Rattus norvegicus: one gene and its partner. The protein of the gene in region 1 interacts with the protein of each later gene in a pairwise test. Links are inferred from orthologs where the notes say so. Each region holds a gene or a part of one and is shown on either strand. Other genes may lie near its edges.

Region 1 (4,457 bases):
TCAAGTCTTTCAACCTATTGAAAATTATATAAAATATAACTGAAAAGAAACATAGAAATATCAAAATTTAAATCCTGAAATAAAGATCTACGTTGTTTAATCTGAAATAAATAATGCACAGGCTAATAAGTCTCGAAATTTTAAGTTACAGCTTTCAGAGGTTTAAGGCATCCATAGTTTCAGTACGGTTACCATTTTTATGTGTTCAAACGTATACTGTCAGATATTACAGACATCACGGATACTGACTCCTAATTCAGATAGCTCAACTGTCCAGAAAAATCAAAGGTGAAACATACAGCGAGGAACATTTAGAGGAACAAACCCTCAAAAGCAAACAGCTTCGGGATGATATATCAAATCCCAGAGAACAAGATCAGTGGGCTTAGTGTTGCCCATCTGCCAAACTCTACAGCTGATCTCTTTTCATCAAGAATTAAAGTTTCTCAAACTCATTTAAATTTTCATCACAAAGTAATAGCAATTCTTTTAATAACATTAGTAAAAGGAACTGAAGAAAAAATTTATACAAATACATATACAAGAAAACGATGGGGCACTGAAACTTTGTCAGGGTGAGCAAGGAAATGACATCTATTCCTAAAACAAACATTTTACAGCAAATAAAATCCTTTTGAAAAAATGACACGTTTACCTAATCAATCCATTTTATTTCATGTCAATTCTTTAGTTTCTAGAGATGATGTTATGTGGATGTTTCATTTTGAAAGAGTTTAGGAAAATGTAAAAAATAATGACTTAACTATTCAGAATTCTGAGATAAGTGTTATGAATATTCAGGACAGCGTAATGCACAGCAGCTCAGACTCCACACTGTGAGGTTTATCCACGCCTGCTCTAACAGTTTCCCCTGTCTCTCCCTTGCCTACCTTTGCCATGTTCATTAGCATCTCCACCATTTGGTAAGCAGGGAAACAGAGCAGAGCAAATGCAAATCAGTCCACTTTGCTATTTGATAACTAGCATAAAAAATTTCTAGAAAGGGGAAATTACTGGTAAAAATAGAACTTTAGGGTTATCTGTGAGTAAAAACTATTTCTGAAACATTCAGTCTCCAGTTACCATGTATAACTGAGTATTGCTTGTTATAGAAGAAGTGTATGCCAGGAACTCAAGATTTTTCTTACAGGTATCCCTGAGTGATTAGTACTCAAGTTTTGTATGCATAATGATGACAAGTTCATATTATTTCTCTCGTTTTAATTTTCAGTAAAATTGTTTTAGGCTTTAGACATGAGAAAGATCAATGGGACTTGTTACAAAAGTTAAAAAAGCAATGGAGTTTGAACATGCCAACTTTTGTTAAGCTAGCTGGCATCTAAAAGAAGTACGTGAAAGTGCTTATGCAGTATTAAGAAAATATTGGTTTTTAAAAAAGATCTCCCAAGATCAAGGCTCTGGTCACTCAAAGCAAACACACAGCTAATCTCTCGGCTGTACCACTTGGTTTGCTTCTTGCTCAACTTCCAAACCATGGTAATATCAGCAACATGTAGCCCATCCGTTAGTAATTTGTTATCATCTTGACATGTTCAGCATTTCCATCTCTAGTCATTCTTTAAAACGCACTTGGCCCACCCAAGCCGTAGAGATGCTTTCCTTCCCCACGAGTGCTTATGCCTGCTCCCTGTTATCCTGCTGGCAAATGTAGCTGTAAACTCAAGACTTCAAACACACCTGCCGTTTAGGTTGAAAGCTATCTGGTCATAGAAAGGTTCCGAATAGAGGACCCACGGTGTTACAAATAGTAAAGACATTTATCAAGGGAACTTTTACCACTGCTAGGTAGGTTACCACGGAACGTCCACAATGCCTACACACTACTTCTTGGGCCAATGACACCAGAACCTCACTTCATACCTCTGCCTGGCGGTAATCTTGAAGTTTGGCAAACTCATCGGCAAAGTCTTTCAGACCCTGCTTTAAATTTGGGGTCTCGGTAGAGGCATACAGGTTGATTTCATTCACCAGGAGGTCGGCTTTGTCTCGAAGCCTGGCAGTTTTCCGTACATAAGCAGCAAAGATTTGGCAAAGCTCTCCAAAATGCTTCTCCACATTTGTGACAGCATCCTGCAGTTGTTTTGTTTGAGCGTCTCTAGAAAAAGGAGACACAGAACACTGTTCTTAAAACAGTAAGATGGTGTCCCGGTTAATTTTATATGCAAACATTCCCGGGATATCCTGAAGCCCTGAAGGGCAACATTCCCAACTCTCCCAAAGGTCCGCCCTTCTCTAGGACCTCATGCAGGTCTAGCCTAGGACCTTGCAGGCCTGGGGAAGGGCCCGGGCCCGGTGGACCGTGAAGGAGCGGCCTCCTGGGCTCTGTACCGCGGCGGGGCCGGGTCCAGCTCCTGAGGACCGGTCGGCCCGCAGACTCTCTCGGCCGCGGAGCGCCACGGGGACCGTGCGGCCTCCTCCAGCCCCTGCCGGCTTCCAGGCCCTAGGCCCCGCTTCTCTCGCCCACCCGGCCCTCTCCCTCCGCCGGCCTGCACGACGAGGCCTCGGGTGGTTACCGGTCATCCAGATTACGCCTCAACATCTTGCCTTTCGCGCCGCCGGGGACCCGGGATGGGAGCCCAACGAGCGCGGCTCCGGGCCGCCAGGGCGCGCGGGAGCAGGAGACGCCGCCACTTCCACCGGGAGCCGAGAGCGCGCCTGGCGCGCCGCCGCTCCTGTCCGGCGTTTCCGTGGCGACGCGGCGCGCGCCCCGGCGGTCAAGAGAAGGGCAAGGGAGACCAGAGGGCATTGGGCTGATGGAACATCAAGCATCCTCCTTCAGTGCAGCTCTCTAGCCCTTCGGGGCCGCTGGAAGCAAAGGAGGAAAAACAACCCACCAGCAACCGGAAGGGGAATGTGAAAATAAAGGTGAATGGGGTTCAGGCTCTGCTTCTGGATGTGCGGACTTAATGCCCTGCTTGTCCCCGCTTCTTTGTTAAATAATGTGTGGCTCGTGGAAGCTGCCTTTGGGAAAGAACCGCTCTACTCTATAAGTTAGATTTCTATTGCTGTGACAAAAATCAGGTTGGGAAGGAAAGGGTTTCTTTGGCTAACAAAGTCACAGTTCTTTGAGGATCTCAAGACAGGAACCTGGAGGCAGGAACTGAAGCAGAGGCCATGGAGCAACACAGCTTGCTGGCCTATTCAGTTGACTTTCTTCTATACCTCGGGACCACTTGCACAGGGCCGATACTGTCTACAGTATTTCCTGGCCCTTCCACATCAATCATCAATCTAGAAAACAGCCTACCGATCAATCTGACAGGGACATTTTCTGAATCTAAGTTCCCTCTTTTCAAGTAACTCTAACTTTGGACAAATAAATCAAACAGAAACGAACAACAATAACGAAACCAAACAAAATAACATCAGCAACGAATCTAGGCAGCCCAACAGAGCCTACTGCTTCATCATTAAATTTCATCTCTTCCCCCTGCAGTTAACTGAGTTTCTACTTTGTGAAAAAGATTGTTAGACCCAACTGAAGCGTGGGCCTGAATGAAACCCCCCCCCCCAGTTAAAAGAGACACAGATAATCTGGAGCCTTCCTTTAACTTCTGAGGTGGAGGCTTCTCTTCTGAGTGAACTCATAGTCCAACTTCGAGCTTTGTCTGCTTCTCGAATGCCCATAGCCTCTGAGAATAGAGTCCTAACCTAAGGTCAGGACAGTTTTTGCTCTAGAAGAGCTCACAGCCTCGGTGGAGGGATAAAGCTAGCCAACAATCAAACACATATAATACAACCCAGAAATGTGCTACTGGGTCAAGTTTTGTTGTATAAACAAATTATAAGACCTGGTGGCTTCCAAAAATCCACTAGTCAGTTTGGGATTGTGCAGATGGCAGGGATAGTTCTTTGGTTCTGTTCTTTGGTCCAGAAGGTGACTTTGCTACCAGCTTCATCATCCCACTGAAAGCTATGATGTTGAGCAAATGAATCCTGCAACTGGGAGGTGGGCATCGGATGCCTAAACCCCGAATCTCACCTTGAGACCAGTAGGAGTAAGAATTGCTCCCTCCTTGTTCTGGACCTGCATGCCACCGTGGTGCGTGTGTCCTTGTGACCCCCACCTCTACCACAGTTGAGGTAGTCACTGAGCCTAGTGGCTGGATTACAGGTTTAAGCACCTGGGATTCCTATTCAAGCAAATGAAGCATTCCCAGTACCCCAGTACCAACCAATAAGGTACACTCACGCTGAAATAAATCCTACCCACCACCAAAGGTTTATATAGCCCTTAATACCCTTGAATAAAGAGAGCTGTGACTCTGGAAACCATCTTGGAGAAGGCTTATTTCTCCCTGACACGCCAGCCAACGGAGTTCCTGTGTACCAAGAACCCCCATACCCTCCCCACCCCCCAGTAATTTTTTTATTCCCTTCATTCTGGCCTGGTTCACAACAGTGCATGAGTGCCCCCAAAGGCAGAACCAGAACCA
Region 2 (4,537 bases), on another chromosome or scaffold:
TTAAGTTTGGCTAGCGTGACTGAAGAAGGTAAAATTTCTTTTAAAATTAAAAACAAACATGTGGTAAAATTTAAGATATTTGTTTAATCATGTTTTGGACAAACCCAGTTAAATGCAATAATACTCAAGTTAATTTTATCTGTTTTGAATTGACCTTTAAAAGCACAGGGCTGGGTATGGTAGCCCTAGCCTTTAATCTGAGCTCTCTGGAGACAGAGGCAGGAGGGTCTTTTTAAGTTGGAGACCAGCCAGAACTACATGGTGAGCCCCAGTCTCAAATCTCAAACAAATGAAGCAAAACAAAAGAGTAGGGGTCTGAAGCCAGGCTGGGTGTGTGTCTGTAATTCCAGCACTGAGAGGCTGAGGCAGGAGGATGAGATAGGAGTATCCAGTGAGACCTTATCTCAAAATATGAAAGGTGCTTCAAGGATATCACCGGAATCAGCGTGCACAAGGCTCTGCATTCAACATCCAAAAACTGCTAGAATGATCGCAATTTACAAACGTGCTCTGCTTTGTGTTTCTGTAGTGATTGCTACACCAGATATGGTGGGTTTTGATGTGGAATTCTCTCTTCGAATGCTGTGTGACGAAGGTGGAGGAAAACTGTTTGGAGGCATAGAACGCTCATCCCTGTCATTTATGGCTGGGATGACCTCGTGCACCCACTAGGCAGATAGGAAACGCCTTCTGAATGGCCCATTTCTTCATTTACCGAACTGAGCTACAATACCGGCCCTTAGAACTGACTCTCCAGTTTCTCTGCCCCTTGTTCACTAGGCGACCTTCCCTGAACCTCAGTTTCCCTTGCTTGTGGGAGTGTGGAGGAGGCAGGCCTGGCAGGAGCCAGTTTGCTATTGGCAGGGAGTCGTCGTGCTTGTCTTACCTGAAAGCTTCGGCAGAATCCCAAAGCCTCAGGGCGAGTTCCGCCACCCGCCCCTCGGGCGACCCGACCAAGCTCCGGATGGCCGCCGGCATCCGCGACCCCAAACCGCCGGGAAGGGGCGCGGTTTGCTTTGTGGCCGGGGCGGGGGAGTCGCAGGTCGGGCCATTTTGCTACTATGAGTCCAGCCAGGGTTACCACGTACTCCTTTAACACAACAAAGCAGCTCTCAGCCTGCCTTGTTGCCAGTGTACACGGTTACTATGGCGACAGCGGCGACCCGGGGACCAGACCAACACGTTTAGGGGGCACGCCTCTCCCGGCCTATGCCACAAGGCTTTGTGTGTATCTCCAGAAGACGTGCTCGAGGCTTTCCTCTATTCATGAACCCGAGGGAGACTCAGGGGACCTCGCTGCTTCTCGGAGGCTCGTCTCGGAGGTGGTTTTCCCTCTGTCCTCAGTGGTAGAAACCAGAGAAGCCGCGCGTGCGCACGATGGGGAGCCGGGTGCCAGCCAATCGCGGTCGCGGCAGTTGACGCGGCCTGGGCGGATCCTTGCAGAACCCTGAGGGCTAGCTCTGGACTCTGGCTTTGCACACAGGTACATCTGGGAGCAGCGTGCGGATACCCGTATCAGTCGTGGTGGGTGGGATGCCTGGGTACCCCTGGAGAGGATAGCGGGCAGGCCCGGTGGTGGCGTGCTCCCCTGGTGCATCTTGCGACGGTGACTCGGAGATGGTGTTTTGACCCATCCTTTGAAGGTCTTCTAACCGGTACTGAACTCTTAGGTGCTGTGGCCCGTGAGCCTGCAGACGCGAGACTGGCTGGCTCTTAACTTTTTCGAGACACGTTCCCTTTGAGAATCCAGTGAAAACCAAAGATGCTTCCTTTAATTTTTTTTGTCAGAAGGAAGATAATGTGTTTTATAGCCCGATGCAAACTAAAGCTTCGCACAATAAGTGCAGTTTCCTGAAAAGGGAGACAAGTCGATCTACTTCCCAGGGTCGTGCTGAGCATCTGATGTCCCAGTAATTTGTAAACATGAAAGCACTCTTAACCTGCGAGCTTGGTGCTGTTCTTTGTGATTATAAGGGACTCAAGGGATGGAGGGATGGCTCTGAGACACAGAGAACCGGTTGTTGTTGCAGAGAATCCGAATTCGATCCCCAACTCACAAACGCCAGTAATTCTAGTTCCAGGAATCCGCAGACACAAGGCACGACGCTCGGAGGGTGAGCAACAGTGTTGGTTGGAAACCAGGTACAAGCCCTTAACTTTCTTGGCCCTGGGTCCTCTATGAGAGAGCTTCACTAAAGAATCCTAGGATCTCAGCAGAATCGCCTATCCAGCCATCCAGAGGTCTTGCAGCTGCTGATATGGGAGCATCTTTCTGGGCACTAATATGTCCTGTGCCTTGAAGGGTGTGTGTGTGTTTAAAGAGTCTGTGAGGGGGCCTGGGGGAAAGGCTCAGTGAATGTGGGTACTTACTGCTCAAGCATGAGGACCTGGATTCAAGTCCCCCAACGTCTCGGTCAAAAGCTTGCTAAGGACTCTGACACGTGCAATTCTAGGACTGCTGGCGGCAGAGACAGGTCTGCTGGTACTTGCTGGTCACCAGTGTAGCTCCAGGTTCAGTGAGATACCCCGTCCAAAGGGAATCCAAGAGGACACCCGATGTCCCCGTCCAGACCCTGCATCTTACACACATACGTATTCATAAAGCACACGCATACCCCCGCACATATGCACGCATACAGCACAGAAGCACACACGTTGAAAAAACAAAACCTGCCATGAAGCCTTGTGGTTTTATGACTTCTCTTTACTTGTTTTACTTAAAAGCTGGCCTCTTTCCCGAGCCTACGTGATGTTACGGATTTTATGAGGGGGGTTTTGTGCTGTGATTAAAACTAGTGTGCTGAGTGTCATTGTCAGCGCCATCCTGGGCTGGCTCTCTCCTTAAGACCTCACCAAGTCAGGTGACTTGACACACGGACTGAGTTATAAGTACCACTCTCGATCCGGGAGTGAAATCCGAGTATCGCTTCATGGCTTTAGAATGACGTCTATGCAGAAGTTAGCGTTCCTGGTGCTGCTCTTACTGTCTGACAGGAATAGTAGAAATATCCTCCCGTGCGCCACACGATGCCAACGGGTGACAGAGTTGCCTGAGGTTAGCATCACTGTGAAGCCACTCGAACTTTGGTTCCAATGCCTGTTCCCACTGAAGACCTTGGCTGTCCAAATGTCACCAATCAAATGGGGTGAATAGGAGGGGCGCGTCGAGGAGTAGTTGAGTTAAATGAGATTATGCAAAGACCTTAGCACACACTTCCTGGTACACAGGAAGCACCCAGCACATGGGTGCTCCTACCTGTTAGGACTTCAAGTCTTCTTTTTTTTTTTTTTCCGGAGCTGGGGACCAAACCCAGGGCCTTGTGCTTGCTAGGCAAGCGTTCTACCACTGAGCCAAATCCCCAGCCCCGACTTCAAGTCTTCTTTTACTGTTCTGTCTAAAGGGATGACTGTTCCCAGAAGGTATTGCCAGGATTGGTAATCCTCAAGGGGTAAGATGTTCTCATGGTAAGAGAACAATGAAGTGAGGTCCCTTTTTTTTTTTCTGACTTTAGGAGAAAGAAGTGCCAGTGTCTCCTCATTGAGTCAGGGATGCCTCTCTTTGGGAGCATATTCAGCCCGAAGAAGACTCCTCCTCGGAAGTCGGCCTCTCTCTCTAACCTGCACTCTGTGAGTGGAGACTTGGGGTGGCATGAGTGGTCTCTCGGTAGAGAGGCAACACTGCGGGAGGGCATCCTCGGAGTTTATATTATTAGTCAAGTTTGAATTCCTGCATGGGAACTACTGTCGGTGTTTATTCAAGAGCTATGACAGCCAGCCTCATTGTGAAATGGTCCCATGTGATATTGTCCAATCTGACTTACATTTTAGTTCCAGAACTTGTTCAAATAATTAACTCCAGTCATGTTTAAAGATCAAATTCAAGCTGCGTATCGTGGCACACCTTTACTCTCAGCGATCAAGAGGCTAGCCTGGTCTACTCAAGTTCCGAGGCATCCAGGGTACAAAGAGAGACTCTGTCTCCAAAAATAAATAAAATAAAATAAAATAATCAGTTCAGGGCCTTGAGAGATGGCTTAGCCATTAAGGGTCCTTGTTTGCTCTTGCAGAGAATCTGGGCTGGGTTCCCAGTTCCCAATGATGGCTCACAACCCTCTGTAGCTATTGTTCCAGGGGATCCACCACCCTCTTCTGGCCTCTTCTGGTATTGCATTTACAAAGTTCACAGACATACGGGATGGCAAAGCACTCATACACATAAAATAAAAATAAATCTGCTGTTGCTTTGAGAACAGAGTCGCTGTGTAGTCCTGGCTGTCCTGGAGCTCTCTATGTAGAACAAGATGGCTTCAAACGCACAGAGATCTGCCTGCTTCTGCCCCGGAAGTGTTGGGATTAATGGTGTGCACCCCACAATCTGCCCACGGCCCAAATCAAGTTTATTTTGGAGAGTCACAGAAAATATTGACTTGCCATTGTTAGTGACATTTGAAAGGATAACAGTTCCAAAGGAAGGGTTCCAAAACCATTTGGGGCTATGATAGCACTGGAACAAAGTTAACTTTCCAAATGCAACATG

Evidence for each region.
Region 2: the proteins of Cibar1 (region 1) and Cby1 interact in binary tests that used the Homo sapiens proteins (3 or more experiments, as listed by UniProt). The two-hybrid records come from large-scale screens. The link is inferred for Rattus norvegicus from reciprocal best matches to the Homo sapiens genes CIBAR1 and CBY1.

Annotation. Positions count from the first base shown.
Region 1 is NC_086023.1:30,426,928-30,431,384, forward strand, and holds the start of Cibar1 (CBY1-interacting BAR domain-containing protein 1), read right to left. Parts: upstream 2,831-4,457; 5' UTR 2,768-2,830; coding exon 2,535-2,767; exon of another isoform or gene 2,117-2,534; coding exon 1,882-2,116; exon of another isoform or gene 912-1,881; coding exon 891-911; coding exon of another isoform or gene 798-890; exon of another isoform or gene 15-797; coding exon 1-14. UniProt on the Homo sapiens protein: Plays a critical role in regulating mitochondrial ultrastructure and function by maintaining the integrity of mitochondrial morphology, particularly the organization of cristae.
Region 2 is NC_086025.1:113,095,873-113,100,409, forward strand, and holds the start of Cby1 (protein chibby homolog 1), read left to right. Parts: upstream 1-1,439; 5' UTR 1,440-1,483; exon of another isoform or gene 1,484-1,655; intron 1,656-2,030; exon of another isoform or gene 2,031-2,303; intron 2,304-3,512; 5' UTR 3,513-3,549; coding exon 3,550-3,627; intron 3,628-4,537. UniProt on the Homo sapiens protein: Inhibits the Wnt/Wingless pathway by binding to CTNNB1/beta-catenin and inhibiting beta-catenin-mediated transcriptional activation through competition with TCF/LEF transcription factors.